Linked DNA regions of Bombyx mori. The protein of the gene in region 1 binds, or shares a complex with, the protein of each later gene. Links are inferred from orthologs where the notes say so. Each region holds a gene or a part of one and is shown on either strand. Other genes may lie near its edges.

The links.
Region 2: eIF3i (region 1) and eukaryotic translation initiation factor 3 subunit M share a complex: the UniProt entries of both Drosophila melanogaster proteins name them as parts of the eukaryotic translation initiation factor 3 (eIF-3) complex. The link is inferred for Bombyx mori from reciprocal best matches to the Drosophila melanogaster genes eIF3i and eIF3m.
Region 3: eIF3i (region 1) and eIF3h share a complex: the UniProt entries of both Drosophila melanogaster proteins name them as parts of the eukaryotic translation initiation factor 3 (eIF-3) complex. The link is inferred for Bombyx mori from reciprocal best matches to the Drosophila melanogaster genes eIF3i and eIF3h.
Region 4: eIF3i (region 1) and eIF3c share a complex: the UniProt entries of both Drosophila melanogaster proteins name them as parts of the eukaryotic translation initiation factor 3 (eIF-3) complex. The link is inferred for Bombyx mori from reciprocal best matches to the Drosophila melanogaster genes eIF3i and eIF3c.
Region 5: eIF3i (region 1) and eukaryotic translation initiation factor 3 subunit F share a complex: the UniProt entries of both Drosophila melanogaster proteins name them as parts of the eukaryotic translation initiation factor 3 (eIF-3) complex. The link is inferred for Bombyx mori from reciprocal best matches to the Drosophila melanogaster genes eIF3i and eIF3f1.
Region 6: eIF3i (region 1) and eukaryotic translation initiation factor 3 subunit J share a complex: the UniProt entries of both Drosophila melanogaster proteins name them as parts of the eukaryotic translation initiation factor 3 (eIF-3) complex. The link is inferred for Bombyx mori from reciprocal best matches to the Drosophila melanogaster genes eIF3i and eIF3j.

Annotation. Positions count from the first base shown.
Region 1 is NC_085121.1:5,018,518-5,022,777, reverse strand, and holds eIF3i (eukaryotic translation initiation factor 3 subunit I), read left to right. Parts: upstream 1-1,460; 5' UTR 1,461-1,536; coding exon 1,537-1,539; intron 1,540-1,664; coding exon 1,665-1,891; intron 1,892-2,001; coding exon 2,002-2,134; intron 2,135-2,826; coding exon 2,827-2,994; intron 2,995-3,127; coding exon 3,128-3,586; 3' UTR 3,587-3,787; downstream 3,788-4,260. UniProt on the Drosophila melanogaster protein: Component of the eukaryotic translation initiation factor 3 (eIF-3) complex, which is involved in protein synthesis of a specialized repertoire of mRNAs and, together with other initiation factors, stimulates binding of mRNA and methionyl-tRNAi to the 40S ribosome.
Region 2 is NC_085119.1:6,794,689-6,798,645, reverse strand, and holds the start of eukaryotic translation initiation factor 3 subunit M, read right to left. Parts: upstream 2,801-3,957; 5' UTR 2,661-2,800; coding exon 2,616-2,660; intron 2,520-2,615; coding exon 2,340-2,519; intron 2,098-2,339; coding exon 2,003-2,097; intron 1,172-2,002; coding exon 956-1,171; intron 81-955; coding exon 1-80. UniProt on the Drosophila melanogaster protein: Component of the eukaryotic translation initiation factor 3 (eIF-3) complex, which is involved in protein synthesis of a specialized repertoire of mRNAs and, together with other initiation factors, stimulates binding of mRNA and methionyl-tRNAi to the 40S ribosome.
Region 3 is NC_085110.1:3,930,549-3,934,526, reverse strand, and holds the start of eIF3h (eukaryotic translation initiation factor 3 subunit H), read right to left. Parts: upstream 2,801-3,978; 5' UTR 2,785-2,800; coding exon 2,707-2,784; intron 1,704-2,706; coding exon 1,486-1,703; intron 1,378-1,485; coding exon 1,218-1,377; intron 545-1,217; coding exon 340-544; intron 1-339. UniProt on the Drosophila melanogaster protein: Component of the eukaryotic translation initiation factor 3 (eIF-3) complex, which is involved in protein synthesis of a specialized repertoire of mRNAs and, together with other initiation factors, stimulates binding of mRNA and methionyl-tRNAi to the 40S ribosome.
Region 4 is NC_085122.1:5,758,885-5,762,864, reverse strand, and holds the start of eIF3c (eukaryotic translation initiation factor 3 subunit C), read right to left. Parts: upstream 2,801-3,980; 5' UTR 2,666-2,800; exon of another isoform or gene 2,562-2,665; intron 2,397-2,561; 5' UTR 2,373-2,396; coding exon 2,280-2,372; intron 14-2,279; coding exon 1-13. Other genes in the region: soluble NSF attachment protein 29, read left to right, coding at 3,003-3,800. UniProt on the Drosophila melanogaster protein: Component of the eukaryotic translation initiation factor 3 (eIF-3) complex, which is involved in protein synthesis of a specialized repertoire of mRNAs and, together with other initiation factors, stimulates binding of mRNA and methionyl-tRNAi to the 40S ribosome.
Region 5 is NC_085124.1:490,865-495,126, forward strand, and holds the start of eukaryotic translation initiation factor 3 subunit F, read right to left. Parts: upstream 2,801-4,262; 5' UTR 2,746-2,800; coding exon 2,637-2,745; intron 2,370-2,636; coding exon 2,223-2,369; intron 1,301-2,222; coding exon 1,077-1,300; intron 1-1,076. Other genes in the region: DNA repair protein XRCC1, read right to left, coding at 3,755-3,892, 4,208-4,262. UniProt on the Drosophila melanogaster protein: Component of the eukaryotic translation initiation factor 3 (eIF-3) complex, which is involved in protein synthesis of a specialized repertoire of mRNAs and, together with other initiation factors, stimulates binding of mRNA and methionyl-tRNAi to the 40S ribosome.
Region 6 is NC_085125.1:12,545,423-12,548,922, forward strand, and holds the end of eukaryotic translation initiation factor 3 subunit J, read left to right. Parts: coding exon 1-43; intron 44-1,110; coding exon 1,111-1,250; intron 1,251-2,715; coding exon 2,716-2,778; 3' UTR 2,779-3,139; downstream 3,140-3,500. UniProt on the Drosophila melanogaster protein: Component of the eukaryotic translation initiation factor 3 (eIF-3) complex, which is involved in protein synthesis of a specialized repertoire of mRNAs and, together with other initiation factors, stimulates binding of mRNA and methionyl-tRNAi to the 40S ribosome.

The DNA.
Region 1 (4,260 bases):
TAATTTTAAGTATTATGAATACCATAAGGTTCTATGTTTGTACGTAGCAAATCACATTAGTTGCTGATTGCTGTACTATTCTCGATGGATTAATAAAGGCTGTTTGTTATACGACCAAGTTAAGTGCGTAGTGACTATTGATTGTGAGTTTTGTCTCTCGTTTGTCTCGTTCGAGTGGTGCGCCGGATGTTAGTCAAAAACAGTGTACTGGTTTGCCAAGAGAAGTTACCTACAGTTGTGTTTAGTTAGCAACGCATAACGTGTTTGTACTTTAATTTGTTTTTTAGTTGTACTCTTGGAAATCAATGGTTATTAATTTAAGAAAATAAAATGTATGTCAAATATTGTTGAAAATGTTTTATTTTTTATCCGTCTTTTATAGCGTCAAACGAAAAATCAGTTATTTCCTGGAAACATCGGGGTTAGCTTTGAGAATGTTTGGAGATCACAGTATCGATCAACCCGAATTGTACTAGCGAACATTTCAAGAAATCTTGCAAGTGGACATATTTCAAACCTAACTTTGGACTGTGGGTGCATTATTTTTAGAGCGTGGACTGTATTTTGGTGCTAGAACCGGTCACCATCCTCGTTGAACCCGTCGCTTGCGACGATGGGCTCGACGAGTGAATTAGCCCATAGACACAGCCCACTGAGTTTCTCGTCGGAGCTTCTCAGTGGGTTGCGTTTCCGATCCGGTGGTAGATTCTGCGAAGCACTGCTCTTGCTAGGGCCAGTGTTAGCAACACTTCCGGTTTGATCCCCGTGAGCTCACCTATATGTTAGGATGAAGCTGAAATAGCTTTTCAAGGCTATAGCAAGGATATACCATAGGTAGGAAAAAAGAAAAGAGAAAAAAAAGAGGTGCTAGCTTCAATAAAAACTAGATTCAGAGCGAAGAATTTTTGATGTACAACACGTGCACGTACGACCAGAATTTTATTGTAATTCTCAAATATTAAGTGTATAATCTATGATTGTAACTAAATTAAATGTATGGACTTTTTGGCGGGAACGCGAGGAGTGAAGTTGTGTGATTGGTTTTATTTTCTCTATTTAGTGTTTCTTCAGGTTTCAGTGTGTAATAACGGTGGTTTATTAACTGTTTAATATCTGCGAAAGTGCACAAATGTGGGAAAATGAAACAAAGCCGCTAGACGTAGCAATACGGGATCCTCCAAAAAGTCCACTGAAAAAATCTTAGTAAATGACACCATTTTACTGAGATTATATTTCATCCCATATCATCTCATCTCATTTAATTTAATTTCATTTCATTTCACTCCATATTATCATTTTTCATAAAAATAAGAATATAAATTAAAATAAGACATGACCTAAAGGTCTTAGTTACCAGGTCATAACATCCTATAAAAATTTACCATAGGCTATAGAGCTCAACTATGCGCCAAGCGAAGGCTAAATAAAAATTAAGAAAAAAAAATCTTCTGTCAAAAGGTCCGCCGCCTGCCACATGTCACCACATCGTTTTTATTGTGATTTATAATAAACTATTAAATAAAATACTTTCTAAACATGGTAAATAACACTCTTATACAAAATTTTAATGCCTCCAAAGTTATTGTGTGAAATATCAAACAAATTCAATCACAAACATAGCTATGACTATAAATTAGGTAAATTACTTACTCATGTAATTCCAGAAACCTCTTATGCTGCAAGGGCACCAGCGTGCCATCACACAGATCAAATATAACCGCGAGGGTGACTTGCTCTTCTCCGCCGCTAAAGATTCAAAACCAAATGTTTGGTGGTCACTGAACGGCGAACGTCTTGGCACTTTCAACGGCCACGGTGGTGTAATATGGTGCCTTGACGTCGACTGGCAGTCAATTAATCTCATCACAGGTGGTGGCGACAGTTCCTGCAGGTATTATCCTCAGTATATTATAAACAAATAAAGTGTTGAAAATTGCATTCTTTTTTCATGTTGTTTGCTCAAAGATGAGTAGGCTGTTGATAACACTAAACGATGCACAGGTTATGGGATCTGGAGACAGGCAAGAATATTGCAACACTCAAATCCAACTCTTCTGTAAGAACATGCAACTTCAGCTATAGTGCATATCAAGCTGCTTATACCACTGACAAAGCTATGGGACACCCTTGTGAGGTAATTACATAGTATATACATTTTATTTAAATAGAGAAACATGAATTGAGGATGAGAAAGACTAATGGATATTATGACTGGCAACTTTAACATTAGAAGAAAAGTAAAATTGTATGCAAAGCTAAGCATAAATATTATTATAGTTGTTTCCGTTTCAGAACTTTCATTCTCTATTAAACCACAATGTGAACTTGTCTGCTTCACTTCAAAGTGGTTTATTGAGGGCCATGCCTTAAAAAAAATCTTATTTTTTGTTCTTTAACATATCCGTCAATTAATGATTACAACTTAGTATTCAAGAGTAATTCCTACATACCTTGTATTTCTTTAAACTAAGATTTGTTGACAGTACAAGTGTCATTTATGCTGACATTTCACTTTGTTTTTTTTTATTATGCTCCAGACATTTAAAATTTATTATTACCGAAAGGCTCACTTGTAAATTTAATACCCTTTAACTTAAATCACAAAATATTTTGAGCAGGAAATACCCTTTTTCAAACTGAACTGAAACTTTGGAGTCGGTTAAATTATAGTGTGCTTAGGTAGACAATATCAACTCTTGGGAATCTCTATTTTAACCCTTAATGTGTTTCCTATATACATATACAGTAAGTTTTTACTAACTAGTATTATAATTTTGTATATCCTGTGATAACAATTAAGATATAAAGTATTATGTCAATTTACAGGTGTTCGTTATTGATACAAGAACAATTGATGAAACAGTGTCAGGTCAAGCTCCTATTTTAAAATGGGAAATCACAGATTCAAAGGTTACTTCAATGATTTGGGGTTCTTTAGATGAGACAATTATCACTGGTCATGAAGCTGGTGACCTTATACAATGGGATCTGAGGGTATGCAAATAATTATTCAATAGACTAAGTAAATTCAAATATTATCTACTTTCTCCATGCAAAAAAATTATCTTTCATAGAAATTATTCTGTTTATTTTTAAATAGTGCTAATGATATCTAATTATTTTTCAGACTGGTAAAAAAATCCACTCTGTTAAAGAGCATACCCACCAAATCACCGATATGCAACTTTCTCGTGACGGCACAATGTTTGTAACTGCTTCCAAGGATCATACTGCTAAGTTATTTGACACTAACTCATTAGAACTTCTTAAAGAATACAAGACAGAGAGACCTGTAAATTCTGCTGCTCTCAGTCCAATCCTTGATCATGTTGTACTTGGTGGTGGTCAAGATGCTATGGAAGTGACAACCACATCAACCAGACAGGGTAAATTCGATGCTCGTTTCTTCCACTTAGTATTTGAAGAGGAGTTTGGCCGAGTGAAAGGTCACTTTGGTCCTATCAACAGTTTGGCTTTCCATCCAGATGGAAAGTCCTATGCTTCCGGAGGTGAAGATGGTTATGTTCGTGTTCATAACTTTGATCAATCTTACTTTGACTACACTTTCGATTACAATAGGGAGTAGTTAATTTGCAATACTCTAGTGTTTCATAAAATTATAAGAAAATAAAGCCTCATTAAAGTTTTTTGTATATCATTTATTTAAATGCATGCCACTTTATCAATCTACATATATAATAAAACAATTAATTCAGTACGTCTATACATTTAGGAAATTTTATATAAGTAGAAAAATAATAATTAAAGAACAGTAATAGAACATAAACTGGACATTTTTAGAATTGGTCACCATTTGTCTGTTCACCCACATTTGTCACATATTTCTGAATCTATTGAAAGGATTTTCACTGCATATATATTGAAACATTGTATGGAAATAGTTTAACCTTTAAAAAACTGGGATGCCTTTCATTCCACTGCTGAGCATGGATCTCTTCCACCCATGTGATATGTAATGCAGCAGAAAGCTAGTTTGTAATATATTCTGTTAATCCCATTATTCATTTTCAACAGACTATTTCATGATGGTACATATTTAATAATAAAAGGTAAAATTAAATATATAAATATAAAAAACGAAGGTATAAATAATGAAGATTTAAAAAAATTATAGTAATATGTCAAAAAGAACAGATCTCATAATAAAGAACATAAAAGTGGGTCAATAAACAAAAAAATTGTAATAGATGCAACATTTATTAATACAAAACTTTACACTTATGGAATACTTTGATCACA
Region 2 (3,957 bases), on another chromosome or scaffold:
TTGCATCTTCTCTTGCATATGAAGCATTTTCATCTGTATATGTGCCCAGTAGCTCAATCATTACTTTAGCAGCTAGTTCACTGTAAATAAAATACATTTATATTTTTTAACGGAACATTCGAGTTTGTATTGTACACTAATTCAAAGCGATTACAAAAATCTACTTACTTACTATTTATTTAGTGCCCTTGTAAGAAAGACATTCCTGTGCAAGGCTGTCATCTTTTTAATATATTACATACATAATCCTCTTATTAGTAGATAGCAGTTTTTAAAATCAGGCAGGTCCAATGACAACAGCACATCGTATACTTAAATTACTTTTATAATTAAGTTGTTGTGGCCTAAGAGATAAGAGGTCCGGTGCATTCGTGTTGATGCACCCGGTGTTCGAATTTTTCTAATGAAATACGTACTCAACAAGTGTTCACGGTTGATTTCCACGGTGAAGGAATAACATCGTGTAATAAAATTCAAACCCGCAAAAATTATAATTTGCGTAATTACTGGTGGTAGGACCTCTTGTGAGTCCGCGCGGGTGGGTACCACCACCCTGCCTATTTCTGCCGTGAAGCAGTAATGCGTTTCGGTTTGAAGGGTGGGGCAGCCATTGCAACTTACTTGAGACCTTAGAACTTATATCTCAAGATGGGTGGCGCATTTACGTTGTGGAGGTCTATGGGCTCCAGTAACCACTTAACACCAGGTGGGCTGTGAACTCGTCCAGCAATCCAAGCAATAAAAAAAAAAAAAATAACACAAAATGAATAGTACTAAAATAATTTTCAAATAGCAAAACATAATTCTAAACATAGAATCTCTTTTGGTGAAATATGTTTGCTATTTTGAGAAATATTAATAACAATGTTTCCTTAACAAGCAATCAGACTTTGGTACATCACTCATAGAAATAATATGGTCATTGTTTAATAAATTTAATGTAGTGAGAACATACCTGTTTTGGTCTTTTAACACTTGATGTAAAAGCCGATACAATTTCTGCATTTGTTCATTAGAGGGTGGGCAGTTAGCAAACTCTTTCCTAAGCTGCTCAACCCCAGTGAAGACTTCCCTGACAAATCCAACTCGTGCAGCCAGTTCTATGACATGATAATATACATGGTATCTTAGAGGTGAGTTGGGTTCTAAGTTGTTGTAAAGTCTCCATAACCTATGAAACAAACATTTTGCAAAATTACTATCTTTCATGTGGATGAAAGTGATTGTCCTAAACTAAATACTGCTGGGTGATTATTTGGTATAAATTTTTTTTCATTACTTTCCTGTCAGCAGTTCCACTTTTTGTGCCACAATTAAAACTTTTGATGAATATACTATTACTTAATCATACTTCCATTCACACACAAGCATCAAGCATTTCTGTAAGCCTTATGCATTTTTCCCTAACAATCATTAATACATATTCTGCTTCAATTCTATAAAATACCAATTTGGAATTCTAGGATCTATTTTTATTATATTTTACTAGCGACACGCCCTCGCTTCGCTTCGGAAACTGTAATTTATTATTGATTTCTCCACTATTTAATGGATGTTATTATACATATAAACCTTCCTCTTCAATGCCTCTATCTATTAAAAAAACTGCATCAAATTTTATTGCGTAGTTTTAAAGATTTAAGCATACATAGGGATATAGGGACAGAGAAAGAGACTTTGTTTTATACTATGTAGTGAAGACATGTACATTGGATCCATTTAATCCCAAAAATAAGTAAATTTATTTGACACATTTTTTTCTGTCCTTAATGATTTTAAAATATTGTTTATTTGACATTTAAATAAATTATAAAAAAATAAAAATTGCAACATTCATTTTTAAACATTTATGGGCAAGAAATAAAAAGCCTTATTCCCTATGTCATGATGGATTTAAACCTGTGATTTCACTTAAATCTTTGTAACTAAGATCTGATAAGTGATGTAGTTGGTTGAATAATAAAGGTTACTTGCATAGTTAAAAAAACCTCTATATACTTACGATTGCAAAGCTACCATTCCAAGTTTAGGGCCAGGAGCCTTAGTGAGCCTTTGACTAAATGCTAAGATAAGGTTTTCTCCTCTTTCTAATGGTATCTGTGAATATTAGTTGCAATATATATGTAAGTATGCGAGTCAACTATCAAACATTTATTTTTATTGCCCTTGTAGGCTGACGAGCACACGGCCCACCTGATGGTGGTTACCGTCGCCCATGGACTTCAGCAATGCCAGGGGCAGAGCCAAGTCGCTGCCTACCGCTTAGTACTCTAATTAATGCTAAAGTACACCTAGATGTTTCTTATTAAAAATAACTATAGCTTTTGCGTTCAACTTACAGAAACCATAATAGAGACAATACTGTTCAGAATGGCTTCGATGTCCGATTCACTCGGCTCTTTGAAACAAGCATCACAAACCCCAACGATCTTATGCAGATCATCCTCAATGCCCTTAGGTGATTTTTCTTCTGAAATCTCGGCGCCAAGGCTCTTAAAATATCTTCTCAGTTCGAGTGCCTTCAATCAAGAAAGAAATTTTATTAAAATTTGCATGTAGACACATTGCAGCAAATAATTTGTTTTGAACGACAGGTTATGTTGACATAAACTGACCTGATCTTCCAGGGATATGTCCATAAACACAGCTGGCCCTTGCATTTTAATTCCTTTTTTGAACTGTATTCTTTTATTTATTATTTATAAGCATTAAAGTGAATGCAAGAACGATTTCTTAGCAACGAAATGTGGCAAACGATATGACAGTTAATAGAGTAGTATTTCTAGTTTTTCCAACTGAGAGGGCAAAGGTATCATAACATATAGCCTAATCTTTTGTATATTGTTTTTATGAAAAATGATATAAAGAGAAATGAATTGCAACGTGAGCATTATAAGGTGTTAGTGTGACTTCAATTTGGAAATTATATGATTCCCGAGCTTCTCCAATATTGTGCCTTGTTCCTCACAGTACACATCCACTGTAATACTTATGGCATTTGATAAGAACAAAACTACACAATTTAAGAAATATACCGACACTAAACCACTAAACAGTAATTGTGACTTTTAATAAAAAATTCAGTTGAATTAGGAATTTACTGTCAGAAATGCATAAACTACGTTTCAAATGGTATTTTAAAACAGTAACTTATTGGTAAAGACCCGTTATCGTGGCAACTATATCTCGTAAATTTGTAAACCTACATCTGGCTTAAAGGTCTTGTTACCAAATCACAAAAACTTCAAAAAGAAAAATACCTACATCGTAGGTAGTGAATTTTAATCGATAAACAATATTTTACAGAAATCGGCTTGATATATTAATAAAAAATGCGTAGTTTTCGAAAATTTATAGATATAAGTACGCATATAAATGGCACAAAAGTGAAAAATAACCTACCATACGTATCTTCCGGTATTCCATCCTTAGACCATATAGTTGGTAAGTTTTACTATTATGTTTAATGGATTAGATTGGCAAAACAAGATCAAATCAATTTTAAACAATTGTAGGGAACAAATTTAATTTATAAAAGTTTTTATTGTCATATATTTACAAAAATCAATAAAATAAATATAATTTTACACTTTCTAGGTGGAGGAATACCTGCAGGCAGCATTTTTGTTGTAGGTTCGTGAATTTCTTTTAAAATTGCATAATATCTTAGAGCCAAAACAAATTTAATAAATAAATATGGATATGAAATTTAATAAATAATCAAATTAAAAATATTTAGTTTTTTATCATAACTTCATTTAATTTTCAATACATTGCATTTTAAGAAAGTAAGATTAATATGATTTTTATATTCACACAACGCATTGTTATTAATTCCAATGAAAGGACTTCAATTACCTTATTTACTTTTCAGAGGAAGATGTCCTTGGTGTGTACAGCAAAGTGTTATTCAAATATTTCATAGCAGAGGGTGTAGCTTGTGACCATGAATTATTT
Region 3 (3,978 bases), on another chromosome or scaffold:
AATCTTCAGGCTCTTAAGAGCCACCTCATATTAACATAAGGGAATCGAAGTTTTAATGACATTGGATGGATGTTTATCTGTACCCTTTAAGAGGACACTTTCTTAGTAGAATTAATAAGCAAGATGATAGTGAAAGCTCACCTGCTTAAAATTGTCTATTGCCATTCCTCCACATAGTAAAAATTACAAGTTTAATATAGCAGTTAGGAAACAACTACTGGGAAAAGTAGTAGCTTCAGATTGCAGCAAAGGAATCAACCCATAATTGATGTAGTCAGATGTAGCCTAAATCTTGAAAGCTTTTCTGATAATTGTATACCATAGTAAAATTAAACAAACCTTCGAGAACAGATGCAGTACCCAGATCCAAAAACTTGGATCCTTCCTCTTCAGGTATCATCTCGGTGAGCTCAGAGATCATTATGTTAGTTAATGGAGAGTTCCGGATAACAATTGGCACTTCAATGAATAGATTTTCATAGCCAATCTTCAGGTTACGTAGTGCTTCCGGAGTGTAATCGCCTTCCTTGTACATAGCAATAGCCTGTAAAGTAAGTATTAACCTCAATTTTACATATATTCTTATTCATACATGAACACCCAACTATACATAATGTTTTCACAATATAAATATAAAAAAAAAACAACAATAATTTACTTGCTTGTTGATGAGCATATTGTGAGTCCAAGTTACTATTATTTCTGCACGTAATAATAATGTGTTTAAGGATTGAGAACAGTCTTACATCTTAAGACATGTGTATAAGAACATACATTACCATCCTCTTTATATTTGCTGGGAATCATACATTCATTCTGGTTTAATGGTGAGACATCAAATATATTTTTTTTTATTATTTTTATTGCCTTTGTAGGCAGACGAGCATACGGCCCACCTGATGGTGAGTGGTTACCATCGCCCATGGACTTCAGCAATGCCAAGGGCAGAGCCAAGCCGCTGCCTACCGCTTAATGCACTCATGTTGTGATATCTGCAGGTTGCATGGACCACTTAGATAGTATCCCCATAAAAAACATTTAAAATATCTCAAAAATATAGATTCTGCCATTCACTTAGCATTAACAAGTGATAACTTCACTAAATATACGTAATATAAATAAATAAAATAGCTCAACTTCAGAAATTAGTTCTGTCATAAAGCTCAATTAACAACATTAGCACTTTAAAATGTGTATAGTTATGAGAGCTTAATTACCTGAGGTGTCAAACGATAGGCCTTCAAAGTCAAGAATCCTCTGGCTGATTTCTTTGTATCGTAAATCACAACAACACTCTCCTCAATAGAGGTCTGATAGTGATATTGTGACTCTAATAACGAAAGGCTTAGAAAATTGCCTACATCTGCACTCTGGTACCTGAAGAAAGATATGAGGTATAAGAAAAAAGAAAGTTCTGCTGTTCTAATTTAAAATATTGTATGACATATTTTGACATACTATAAAACAATTTTCAATATTAATTACCATCCAACATGAAAATGATCAACATTGACTCTTCGAAGCCTCCTCATCATGTCCAACTGGTATTCCTCCTCATCCATGGTGTCGTCATGCTTTGGAAATGGGAAGCAGTTGGTAATCTCCAGACGGTTCTCAACGACCAAACCAAGGAGAGCTCCCTGAGCCACCTCCATGTTGCTGCATGATTCTTCATGACAGTGTTTCACTATTTTCATCACTGCCTAAAATAAAAAGCACAAATATATTATAAAAGTGGGAGCAGATCTGTCATTTCAAATGCTTGAGTTAGTTCGATGAGGATTTGTTTGATTACCACATATTAAACTGTTTTACCACTACTTTAAGCATGTTTCAACTAAATAACTTCAGAGAGGATATTATTCAAGGCAAGTTAAAATACACTTTAATGTGTAACAAGTTTAACAAAACAAATTAATACCTACCCATCCCTAATAAATTATTGCTATATTAACTTTCTGTGTATGTGTAGGAAATCAATCAGCTTGCTATTTGCAATCAATCAGAACAAAAACTAATCTCAATCATTTACAGTTAGGAAACTATAAAATTATCAGTAAATAGTAGTATAGTATATAACAAAAAATGACTTCACATATACTATCAAGATCTAAACTTTGTAATGAAGCATAGTTTAAAACACTAATTATATAGTTCAGAGAAAATTTAATGTTTTAGATGTACAGTTAGGTGAGATCATCCTCCTATTTCAATGACCCCCGGGCTCAGGGCAAATGTCCCAAAACAGTCAATGACTCAACAACGTTTATATGTTGTAAACAGAAATAAAAAACCTTTGTAGTCTTTTATTTTCTTTTTATATCGAAAGTTTTTTGGTTCATAGAATCCTATAGAAATTAACATAACGAATTATTCAAGGTTTGGTGAATTGTCAACGTTTGCCCGATTTATTTAAAAAGAAACGAGAGCACAAAATTGAAAACATAACCTATACAATTATCTTTATTATTGCAACGGCAACCTATTTTATTGTAATCTAAGATCTCCTAAAATCATACAACACGAATCATGTTCCAGATCATAATAATCCACCTTAATTGACGATGTTTACTTCTATATATTAATTAAATGGTAAAAATACATGACGTGTCGAGGCACGAACTTTCACAAAGTTTTTAATTTAAAACCTACAGTTGACGTCCGTCTCAGAGAACCTATCTAAACTTTAATTTTAAATTTACTTACCAGTCCATCGCACTGAACATATTGGATCGTCGCTTCATTTTCAGGAGCGCGTCTAGCTGAACCAGCACGGCTCGCCATTTTTAATTCACAAGAGAACGTTTGATTTGATTACATTTTAGTGTAGCTCTCCAAATCGACTATCAATAGCTATCGATAATTGTAATCGATACCTTATTTGCAATCGACACTATACGACAGATTAGCCTTTAAAAATACTACCACGAATATCACATCTCGATTAAACTTAAACACTGTTGGAACTATATACCAGTTTTTACAAATTTCTGGGTTTTAAAAAGAGTAGGTATACGAAGACATACACACGCTAATGAGATTAATATAGTAGTTTTTATATCCCAGTTACAATGCAATAAATAAGTGCCGTAATTTTGCGTATTGTACTATGGATCACAATGATAGTTAATCCTAATGTTTACGGTATAAATGTAAAACAATTAATGCATTATGATCTTGTAAATATTCTTTAACAAATCCATTTTTAGTAATGATAAAAATTAAGGTTTAAAAGATTTTTTATTTATATGATAAATCTCAAATGTTGTTCAATCTTTTTCTATTATCCATGTATAAATTGTATTACATTCTTACAGATTTTGAATTAAAAAAAATACTATAAAGTTAAGTGATATGGCTCGAATTACACTTATAGACGTGAGGTCTCATTATTTGCTTTAATAAGGAAGTGGTATCAATTCGCGTTATCGCTGTATTTATATTTTACCGTTCGTCAATTTGTAATTAATCGTTTATTTATTAGGTTGTACCTTATGGAACATTTTGTTAACTTACGACTTTTGCTTAAGACTCTCGCTCTACAAAGCACAGGTCCGGCCTCGTGTGGAGTACTACTCCGACCTCTGGGCCGGGCTCCCAAAAACCAGCTACTTCCATTTGACTCTATACAGAAGAGAGCCGTTCGGGGGCTCCCAAATACCAGCTTCTTCCATTTGACTCCATACAGAGGAGGGCCGTTCGGATTGTCGATAATCCCATTCTCACGGATCGTTTGGAACCTCTGTGTCTGCGGAGGGACTTGGGTTCACTCTGTTATTTTGCACCGTATGTTCCATGGGGAGTGCTCTAAGGAATTGTTAGACATGAAACCATCATCTCGTTTTTACCATCACACCGCCCGCCACCGGAATAGAGTTCATCCATAATTCCTGGAACTACTGCGGTCATCCACAGGGCGTTTCCAGAGATCTTTTTGCCACGTACCGTCCGGCTTTGGAATAAGCTCCCCTCCACGGT
Region 4 (3,980 bases), on another chromosome or scaffold:
CATCGTCACTAAACTGTTGCCAATATAAAGAATTATAATTAATTGTACTTTTCTTGTTCAATATTCTTCTACAGTTGACTGAATTATTAAATAAAATTTGAAAAAATTATTATTCTAAGCTTATAATTCTAAAGATGTAAAATAGACATGTATTAATTTGTTTGAAATTGCCACCAACTAAATCAACGATCTTGAAAAATTTTTGTACCACAGACCAAACAAATTTTATGTAATAAGGCGAACCTATTCATGCTTAGTCGATTTTGAAAGTACTTCAGAACGAGAACTCTAGTAAAATAATGTAATAGCCCTTAATATAGGAAGTCCGCTGAGCGGACGCGGCACTGTTGCCGCCACTGGCCGCGTCTGTTTGAAGTCCTTTGAGCGGACGGGTCCCTGTTGATAGATAAATGTGATTTGACATTTCACGTATCTGTGGAGTCCGCTCAGAGGACACCGCACTGGGGAGAGGTTAATGTATCACAATAGAACATTAACTAGAGTTACAACCATGCTCGGTAAGAGCTGTTGTTAGTAAGCTAGTGTTAATAAGAAATAACTATCCAGTTGATTTTATTAACGCAATATTATAATGGAAGAAATTTTCAATACTCGAATAATCATCATTTGAAGACCAAAACTAAGACATGTAAAACATGCATGCCGTGGTAGCGCAGGCTCTTCTTACACAAGTATACGCAACCTTCCTGTTGTTCACTTATCCTGAGTGCATACCTCAAAATAGAGGCAATTTACTGAAATGACTTGGGACTATAATAATATTGTGAATTGTAATTATAATCTTGTAGAATTTTCCCACAATGGCGCACTTTTAAGATTTTTAATCTGTTAACAATATACAATATTAAAAGATGACAACAAAAAAAAAATTAGCAAAAAAACACAGCAACTCTTATCTCCCAATCAATTTATAACTTTTAGTCTGATCATTTTCTTTTTAAAATTTGAAGCATATGTTTAATGTTTATTACAATTAACATTAGATATGTGTCGTTCGCCAACGAACGAACCAAACGACCCGGGTTTCAAAATCCGCGCGAACATTTCAAAAAATATGAGTCGTTCACTAGATTGACCCGTTTAACAAAACCTACGAATCAGAAGAAAAGAACCATGCAACAGTCATTCGGGTCATTTCGGGTTGCCGGGTCTCGCCCCGCGCCCGTCTCGGTTAGACGTTCGCTGTCGCATAATGACGCATAACGTATTTGAATTTTTTTTATCTCACCTAAACAATCGAACTATAACAGTTCCTTTAAACTGTTATTCAATACTAAACTTCATTCAGCCAGTGACCTGATAATATTAATCACATCATAAATTGGTGTGATTAACGGAAATCCAAACGTTTGACTGAACGGGTCGAACGAACCGGATCATTTTGTCAACAGGTCAGTATTGATCTGATTCTCTAAAATTGATTGAACAACACATATCTAATTCACATCACTGTACTATTCCGGAATCAAAGCATCTTGTTATACAAGTCAAGACAAATTAATAACAAATTGATATGCCAATCACTAGATGCACTTATTAAACTCATAATTGAAATAAATAGAAGTTTTAGTGGCTTACTATTGTTACTATTAAATTATTTATCCATGTATATTATTATATTACTCCAAATTATCTTTCAAGCAGTATGCCAGTTGACCAACAAGTCTACTAAGAGTTTAGGAACGAAAGAGTAGCACGAGCAACCCTTTGTCCTGCCAAGATGTAACTTGTGGGATTTTTTCAGATATTTTAAATTTAACATGGGTTGAATCCTATGTCATACCTTATTTATTATGAATTAAAAATGTTTTAATAATATTATACCATATTTTACAAAGATGACTGAATACAAGAAATAAAATTTATAATTAAAATAATTTCACAATCATTACAAAATATGGCTGTTCCCTTTGCCCATTCAATTTTTTGGACAAGTCGTTAGAAAGCTGTAAGCTGGCACAATAGCAGATTGCGAGCAGAGCAGAAATACATTATTGATCGCTACCCCCTCTATTAGCTACTGATAGTGGACATTTAGGAAAGAATTTAAAGGATCACATTTTTCAAAACTTCTAAAAGAGTTACAAAATTTTGCTAATTGCATTGCTGATTACCGAAAAAAAGTTTCATATATCTTGTCATCCTACATGAGATTAATGTTAGTCTCCCTTGGTAACTTAAAAAACTATTTATCTTTTTTTAAACTATAAATTGAAAATTTTGTTTCCTTGATTCCCAATTATTTATTTTAAATTTACCGTGTAAACTGGCGCGGGGGCGCGTACTACTGGCTCGTCCTCGCTGCTGCTCTCTGACTCCGAGTCCGTCCCAGTTGCAAAGAAACGACTCATATTTACAAGAGTTAGTTAATGCTTCTGTAAAAGAAAACTTCGTTAATTCCAAATGAACATTATTTGACTCCAATGGTAATTTATTTTCTTAAATATCTTAAATAAACATCAAAATTAGTAATAAATAGTTGACTTGTCCTCGCGTTGAGGTTATAAATTAGAACTGTTTAACATTTTTACAATACTTACTGTCTTATATTAAAAACAGAGTAGGTATTCAGTTTTCAAGCAATCCTCTGATGATAGACTTAATAAATTTGTAGCGAATAGAAAGAAAGCTCTCAAATACAGACCTTGCCCACGACTCACTTCATACGTCAAACGCATCAAAGTTGATCAAAGAGCTAAACTTTGTTTCAATTGTTCAATTGGAAAGGCAAAGGGAACGTGGCATATTGACTTTTTTTGTTCAATTAGACAGACACTTAAAAAAATCGTTTTATTTGGCTACATCCCTTTGCTCGTCGTATCAGATAAATTAAACCTAAAATAAACATTTATGGTACATACCTACCATAATAATTGTGTATTATCTGTGCTTACCACCCCCATAATTTCAAGTGCATTCTTTTTGAACATCACCAATAAAGTAACGAGAACACACCTACGTAGTAAATTACATTTTAAGCAATGTCTGGGCATAAATATTTCACAAATCCGAACAACCTATTCGAAAATGACGACGTCGATGATAACGAATTTGTAGATCGCTTCCGGTCAAGAATACCTCAAACACAGCAAGCAAATAAGCCTTATGGAGGTCATATTGCAGAACTGGAACGTCAACGCCAAGCTATGATCCAAACACAAAGAGAAATCGAACAACGGACAATAGATTCATCAACGAGAAGTATCGGATTGCTTCGTGATTCTGAACAAATTGGTATTGCAACGGCCGAAGAGCTTTCCCGACAACGTGAACAGCTACAGAACACAGACAGGCGACTTGATGAGATTAACACCAATTTAAACTATAGTCAAAAACATTTAAATGGTATAAAGTCTGTATTTTATGGTCTGAAGAATTATATTTCCGGAAAAAGTGATCAAACACCATCTAAAAGTCCAGCGACCTCGAATGTACGTAATGCTGGTACAAGTAGTAGCAGGCTTGATGAAACCCTAGATAATATGTCTAGGAACGTTGAAGATCGCTTTGAGAGTCATCCCTCAGCACGCCTACATGGTTTGTCTCAAGAAAGCGCTAAGAGTCCTGAAACAGAAAACGAGAGAGTAAATAATATACTTGATTCGAACTTGGATGAAATGGTGCATGCTATATCCCGGCTCAAACATCTAGGAGTTGCACTTGGTGAAGAGATAGAACAGCAAAACAACCTCGTGGATACTATTCAAGACAAAGTTGAGATTGCAGATATCAAGATTGGTAAACAAAATAAACAAATGAATAAACTACTTGGGAAATAGCAATAATTATAGCAAATTAAAGATTTATTTTAAACAACAACTAAAAGGGTCTATTAATCTATTAAATGTATCTGTTTATAAAGATTTAGCATGTTTTTAATGTGAGTGGTTTGCAAAATTCAGTAGTGTAATCATTTTGTGTGATAAGGAATACTAATGTATGGCAAAGTTTGATAAGAT
Region 5 (4,262 bases), on another chromosome or scaffold:
GGAATTACCAGATTAATAAGGGATTTTAATATACAGTCAAACTTGGGTAAGTGAGAACTGGATAAGTGAGAAAACTCTATAAATGAGAGTAATAGCCAGGACCCGTCATTTTTAGCTTCTTAGACCTCTATTAGCGAGAGACAGAAACCTCTGTAAGCGAGAGTAGTTTTTTCCCTTATGGACTTCCGTAAGTGAGACTGCTACTTGTCTATACCTCTATAAGCGACAGTCGAGCTTTATTTATTTATAATAATATTATTTAGGAGGAACAAATGACAAAACAAATTACAAATTTAACATCTGCTATTTTATGACCCATTCTTAAATTTCATGGAACTTTTTAACATTGTTTTTGTATTGTTTTCTCGTCAATATAGAACCTATTCTATTTCGTGGAACTAAATAACGTTGTTAATTTATCGCATTCTTTTCGAATGGACACGTGTCCCGGTGTACCGTCCTGTTTGTCAGACTTACTCAGTTTATCGTTAATCAATCGCGAGGGAAAAATCTGTTCTGCATCATGTCAAAACGGAAAATTAAAGTACTGTCATTAAGTGATAAACTTAAAATAGTGAATGCGTTTGAATCTGGAAAATCGCGAAATGACATTCAGAGGGTTCATTAGGGAGAAACTCGGGTTAGTGAGAAACCTCTATAAGCGAGAATGAGATTGTGCTCCCTTTAACTCTCGCTTATCCAGGTTTGACTGTAATTCATACTAAACATTATTAAATTATTAACATTAAATATTTATTATTAATTTATGATTATTAAAAAAAAAAAATTAATAAAAATTAAGTATAACTTCTTACGCGCGCACATAAGTACACGCACCCTTTTTTTATTTAACAATATAACAATATGTGATTCCACACAATGCAGTTTTGGAGTTCATGGATATTGAAATATTAACAAATTTGAGTCTAAAACAGCTCATGATTTTGAAGCCTTTTGAACACAAATTTAAACCTGTAACAGTCAGAGTTTAATGGCCTTTCAGCAGTTTTCACCATATTTTTGCTTAATAAAGCAAATATTGACAATGAATACAGTACAAAATCTTCAATAATTACCTCAGGTTCATAGCATGTGAGAGTGACATCTACAGGAGTGAACATGCAACCTTGCTTTCCATTTGGCACTCCCAATGGTACACAAACATATGCACGTAAACCCATTCGACCTCCAGCCAGCGAAGTGTCCAGAGTAACATGGACAGGCTCACGGCATTCACGGGAATAATACTCGTGTATAACAGAGGAGTGGTTGGTTACTTCATTGCCAGTCGCCCACCAACCTAAAAATAATACAAATGAGTTTGAATTTAAATGTATAAGGTATGCTAAGGGAAGTAAAAGATCCAATTTTATTAATTGGCAATTGTCAAGAGTGTTAACTATAAATGTGGAAGGCTATAGTGGAAGAGGTAGACCTAAGAAGAAATGGATGGATTGCATGAAGGACAATATGTGTAAGAGTGGAATGAGCGAAGAAATGGTATTATGATAGAGGAGTATGAACGGAGAAAATATGTTGCGCCGACTCCAGGTGACTCGGAGAAGGGCAGGAAAATGATGATGATGTGGCAATTAGTTGATAGTAAGATGCAACATGCTGGCCCGCAGATTTACTGGTTGCGATAGCTATGTCAAACTTACAATTTTTAAAGCTTATTGCCAGAATTTTTACGCCAGTAGTCTGTGGACCACATACACGCGGAGAGCTTACAATGCCCTACGTGTCCAATATAATAATGCGTTTAGGATGATGTTGTCACTGCCGCGCTTTTGTAGTGCATCCACAATGTTTGCGACATCTCACACAGATGACTTCTTTGCAATAATGCGGAAGAGAAGTGCATCGTTATTGCGTCGAGTTCGTGACAGTGACAACAGTCTTTTGAGAATCATATCGAGCAAGATCGAGGGACTGCTGATCAATAGCCTTTGCAGTAGGCACTTGGAAGGAGAAAAATAATAATATATAATGGTATAAAATGTATAATATAATGATAGTTATGTGTTAGATTTTTAAGTTACTAACATAGATTATAAGTAATTATTACTAACAAAATGTTATGGTTTTAAAAAAAAATAATAACTGAAATAAAGCATTAATAATAATAATAATAATAATAATAATTAGTGTAAATTGTGTGTGTATGCGTCTGTGAGTATTGTTACATATGTGAATTTGAGTATAATGCAGGTATAGCTCACCAACAATACTTTCAGAGGAATTGACTCTTCTGTTCAGCTCGTAAACATCCATCGCGTAATTAAGTTCCGCTTCGACTTGATCGGCATGTTCTTTGTGTGGCACGCAGAAGCAGTTGGTTACTTCCACCACTCCTTTGTCGCTCGTGCCTGCAGCAACAGCACAACATAACCTTACAACGCCTTTACACATTTGTATTGCACCTGGCTTATGTGACCAAGGAATTTATCAAATTAACTATAACGTTGATGTGGAAAAGCCAAAGTGAAATGTGTAATGATAATTGACGTACATATTTAGCATTTAGGGATTTTTCTTTTAAATAACAACTCATAAAATTTGGTACACGACATGACGTTGACAACTAATGTCCTTTGAATTTATAGTTATTGCATGATTTATAAATCAATACGAACCCAATAAGGTGCCGATAACTCTGTGAGAATCTGCATTTCGACGTTCGTATGCGTCCACAATTTGAAATAAAACAACAGGATGGACCTTCACACTAATATTGAGAGCCATTTTTAATTCGACCAAAACTACAAACCCAGAAACACAGAGTACAAGAGAATATTGTAGGTATTATCTCTGCTAATTTTAATTTTTTTAGGGATTTTATGAACTGGTAATTAAGACCTTTAAGTCATGTCTTATTTTTATGAAAAATGATAATATGGAGTGAAATGAAATAAAATGAAGATGATTAATTTGAGACATTAGGGTCAATTCCCACTGAAAGAGCAGCGGCGCGCAGCGGCCGTAAGAGCAAGTGATTGAGCGCGGCGCCGCAAGGGGCAGTGTGGCGCCGCGCGGGGCAGTGCGGCGCCGCGAGAGGCAGCGCGGCATCCCGAGGCGCCGCAATGAACCTCCGCGTAGTAGCTTTGAAAACTAGTGTGCGATCTACTTCACTCAAGGAAAGTTGTGTGGCAATAAATATGGTGGATTTGGATTTATGTATCATAGCACTGGCTGTAGAAGAAGAACAAGAAGTAACAAACAAAACGGAAAGAAAAAGGAAAAGAAAATTTTGGGTACATTTTTTTCTCACGGAGCGTAGCACGTTCTAACTTGATACCCTCTAATAAAATGACGCGAAATGCGTAAGCGGCAGGGCGGGCGGGTATGAAATGGTCGCTCGCGCGCAGCCGCGAGTCTGTTAGCTGCACCGCGGTCGGCCGCACGTCAGCTAGCTGCGCCGCGATCAGCCGCGCGGCGCCTCTTTTGACTAGTCGGTAGAAGGCTCGTGCAGCCTCGCGACGTCACGCTACCCCTCCTTTGCCTTCAAATGACTATGAACTTTTTAATCACGTAGATAAGATTCAAAATAGTTTGTAATATTTTGCCTAAAAAAGACGCTGCCGGCCGCTGCTCTTTCAGTGGGAATTGACCCTAATCAACTAGAATGAAATTAAATGAAATGAGATGATATGGGATCTTAGTAAAATGGTGGTCATTTACTGAGATTTGTGAAAGAAAAGGCGTTGTTAGCTGACAGTTATTTAATGAAAGGAATTCACAAGTTGAGCTGTCGTTATATTGGACACAGTTTTCGTTGTTGATGACATTTCCACAGCCAGGCTGCAGTGACGGCGCGGCCCTTGATTCGCGGCGCGGCGCCGTCGTCGCACACCACGTAATCTACGCGGCTGTCCTCATCCAGCTGAGACTTCTGAAAAATGTACATTTGTTTAAAATTAGGAAAATATGTATATTTATCCAATCATAGAGGAAATGTGACAATCATGAAATTTTTTAACTATTTTGAATTAATATAAATTTATATAAATATAAATATAAGAATATAAATTTATTGCTCTTGTAGGCAGACGAGTATACGGCCCATCTGATGGTGAGTGGTTCCCGTCATCCATGGACTTCAGCAATGCCAGGAGCAGAGCCAAGCCGCTGCCTATCGTTAAGTACTCTCTACAAGCCTCGTTTGAAGAAGGGCATGTCATATTGTTGTGCCTGCAGCACGAGCGACCTGCAGCACGCGCCCCCCGTAGGCCCGCAGGTAGCGCCAGCAGCGCGCCCGCAGT
Region 6 (3,500 bases), on another chromosome or scaffold:
CCAGGATTCATTGATGACCTAGTCAAGAATATTTTAGTCCAGAGTAAGTAAAATTCATTGTTTATGACTTCATTGATTGTGTTTGTAATTCAAATTGCTGATTTTTGCTGTGAAACAGTAATGCATTCAGTTTGAAGTGTAGTGTAGCCGTTGTACTGCACAATTTAGACTTTCGACATAATGTCTCAAGGAGTATGGCAGCATTCACATTGTGATGTCACAGTAACTGCTTGTCACCAGGTGGGCCGTGAGCTCATTCACCTAATAATAAATAAACATATAGTTCATGCTTAATATGGGGCTTGGTTCTGCTTAATACGTAATCATCATCGTGAAGTAAATATCTTCTCATTGTCAGTGGTGGTCACCAATGTAGAATATGACATTTATAAATGAAATCTTTCATTTCTAGATTGAAGTTAATTCAGAGCAACTCCATTATTATGATTGTGAACTTTCTTTCATTAGATGCCGCTAAAGTGTAAAAAGTCTTATAAAATTTAATAAATTCTGGATTTTTTGTTGCGTTTCGCTATGAAGGGCGGGGCGGCTGTCGTACTGTTAAAAGTGAGACCTTTACATCTCATGTCTCAAGGTGGGTGGCGGTATTTACGTTGTAGATATCTATGGGCTCCGGTAACCATTTAACATCAGATGAGCCGTAAATTTGTCCACCCAACTATGCAATAAAAAAACATATCCAGATTAATCTGGTACGCAAGATCTCATCTAAAGTCATTAGGAAATAAATTTTCTTACTATGCTTAGATCTTTTCATATTACAAGAAATGTCATCTGCTTTTATCTGTTGTGCAGCAGCCATTATGCTTTTATGAGATATCAGGCTTCATGGCTGCATGTTAAATCATTGGCATGATGCATTGAACGTTTAAGATTTTAATGACATATCTAGCTTTCAATATCTCCATAAGAGAATAATATTTCTTCTAATTGTGATCCTCAAATAAATTTATTTTGTCATATGATCTTTTTAGAGAGTTAATACTTATGTAATGTGTTAATTGTATGTGAAAGTGTATTTAAAATGGGTGAAGTATGACTAATATGATAAAGTATGACTGAAGTATGACGAAGAATCTATAATTACAGTGTCATCAGCGGATATCCGACGAATAAAATTGACTGTCGATAATCTATATATTGAAAAACAGAAGGCAGAAAAGAATGATAAAACTAAGAAGGCCACAAAGGGCAAGGGCAAGGCCAAGTTAAAACTTGAAGGGGACAATGTGAGTTTATTTTTTATTTAGTTATCAGTAACTCGAATATCCAGTAATTAAGGTATGTTGTAAGGTTGCGTTTATTACTGGTGATAGGACCTCTTGTGAGTCCGCGCGGGTAGGTCCCACCCTGCCTATTTCTGCCGTGAAGCAGTAATGCGTTTCGGTTTGAAGGGTAGGGCAGCCGTTGTAACTATACTTGAGACCTTAGGGCTTATATCTCAAGATGGGTGGCGAATTTACGTTGAAGATGTCTATGGGCTCCAGTAACTACTTAACACCAGGTGGGCTGTGAGCTCGTCCACCCATCTAAGCTATAAAAAAAACAAAACAGTCAGCTCTGATGGGCATAGCGGTTCTGTTAATATCTACAACAAACAATCAACATTCCAGTTTAAATCTGAGACTAAATTATGTTTTTATGTAGGCAGTTCACATGAGTTAAAGTATCCACATGATATGTAATCTCCCTAAAGTCTACAATACGAATAAAAAAAAACAAAAACAACTCAAAACACACAGTCCTTTGACTTCACATCTTAATAATCCAATTACAATATTTTGATGTTTATAAACAGCAGAATTTTGCATTAGCGCAGACAATTTACATTAAAAAAAAAGTTGTGTTTGTACCAAGGAAAACTTTTGTAAAATTACCGTGCAAATTTCACGAAATAATGATAATTCGTGTGATAATGATAAACGTGATTGATAAGGAAGTGTAGGCTGTCGATAAGCTGATATCAGACCGCGCTAGTATCGACATAGGTCAAGTTCGTGCCTAATCTATACTTGAACAATAATTGTATATTTAGCCAGTTTGATTTTGTGAGAGAAAAACAAAAACATTTGATTGAAACAAAATTTACCCTTGCATGAACCTACAGTACATAATGCTTATAGCGTCTCTTGAACATTTAAAGTCATTCCAATTCTTTACGGATGGAACTTTGTTGGTATTATTAGACATTGCAATTGCTAAATTGGAAAAATATATTGATAGTTGTTCATTCGATTGTGAGATGATCAGTGTGATTAACAGGTTTAAATATTACAATAACTTCATTGATCCGGTGAATTTCTGACGCTACGAAAGTAGACTAGTAGAGAAATCAAATGTACATCTATACTAATATATAAATCTACAGTGGTTTTTACGAATGTTCCATTATAACTACTGAACTATGCATCCGATTGACTTGAAACTTGGTATCCATGTAGAAAATACATGTACTTAATAGATAGGCTAATATTTCTATGAGTTTTGGACTCCCTAATAATAATGTTAATTTTAAATGCCCAACGAAGCGGGCGAGTACGGCTAGTCGCATATAAAGCCAATTAAACGGATCTTTATACTGCACTAAATCTCATTCAATAAAGAAACTCGTTGAGCTCACTCGTACAATTTTTTTCAATTTTCACTATTTTCTCAATCGTGGGTATTTATATATTTACACTTTTCTCGTTTCAGGCTCATCTCAATCAATACGAATCATATGGGAATTTCGATGACGACTACGATGATTTCATTTAAATAAAGCCAATAAGGAACTTATACACAAATTTGATGTCCGAATTCATTGAATTTTCAACTTCATTTACTATATAAAAAAAAATACTTTCCTATATATATATATAAATGTTTTTTGTAGAATGATATTGCGTTAGTCTGTTTTCTTGTAATCTCGTTTTATTTATTGTCGGTAATCGATTTGGCACTGGCCAAAATCGATATTGTCGATAACAACAATCGATTTATGTAATTCGGACATCAGGTAAGAAAATAATCATAGCATTGTTTACGCTAACGGTAATGGTAATGGTGTTGCTATGATAAAGTTTTAAACATCCGGTTGGAATGCTTAAATTATCGATTATGTAATACATAGAGTATCTTTGGTGACATAAAATCGAACTGAATTGTAAGTAATTGGGCTGTTACCTTAATCCATTGTTGTTACTTCTATAAACTAATCTACACAATTTAGCAATCCAACTCGATAAATATATAATATGCCATTGTATAGCATATAAACATACTATATACATGTAATGTACAGTTTCATTGAACGATTATTTGTCCGATGTTATATATAGAGAATAAATTTTTTTATTGTGATATTATTTTTGTTTTATTTGATCAACACGTTTTATTGTATTATTTGTGTGTTCAATATTTGTTAGCAAATGACCAAACACTGGTGTTACATATTTAAAGGTATTTGCCAAAAGCATTTTTTGTTGGGATTAGATTAG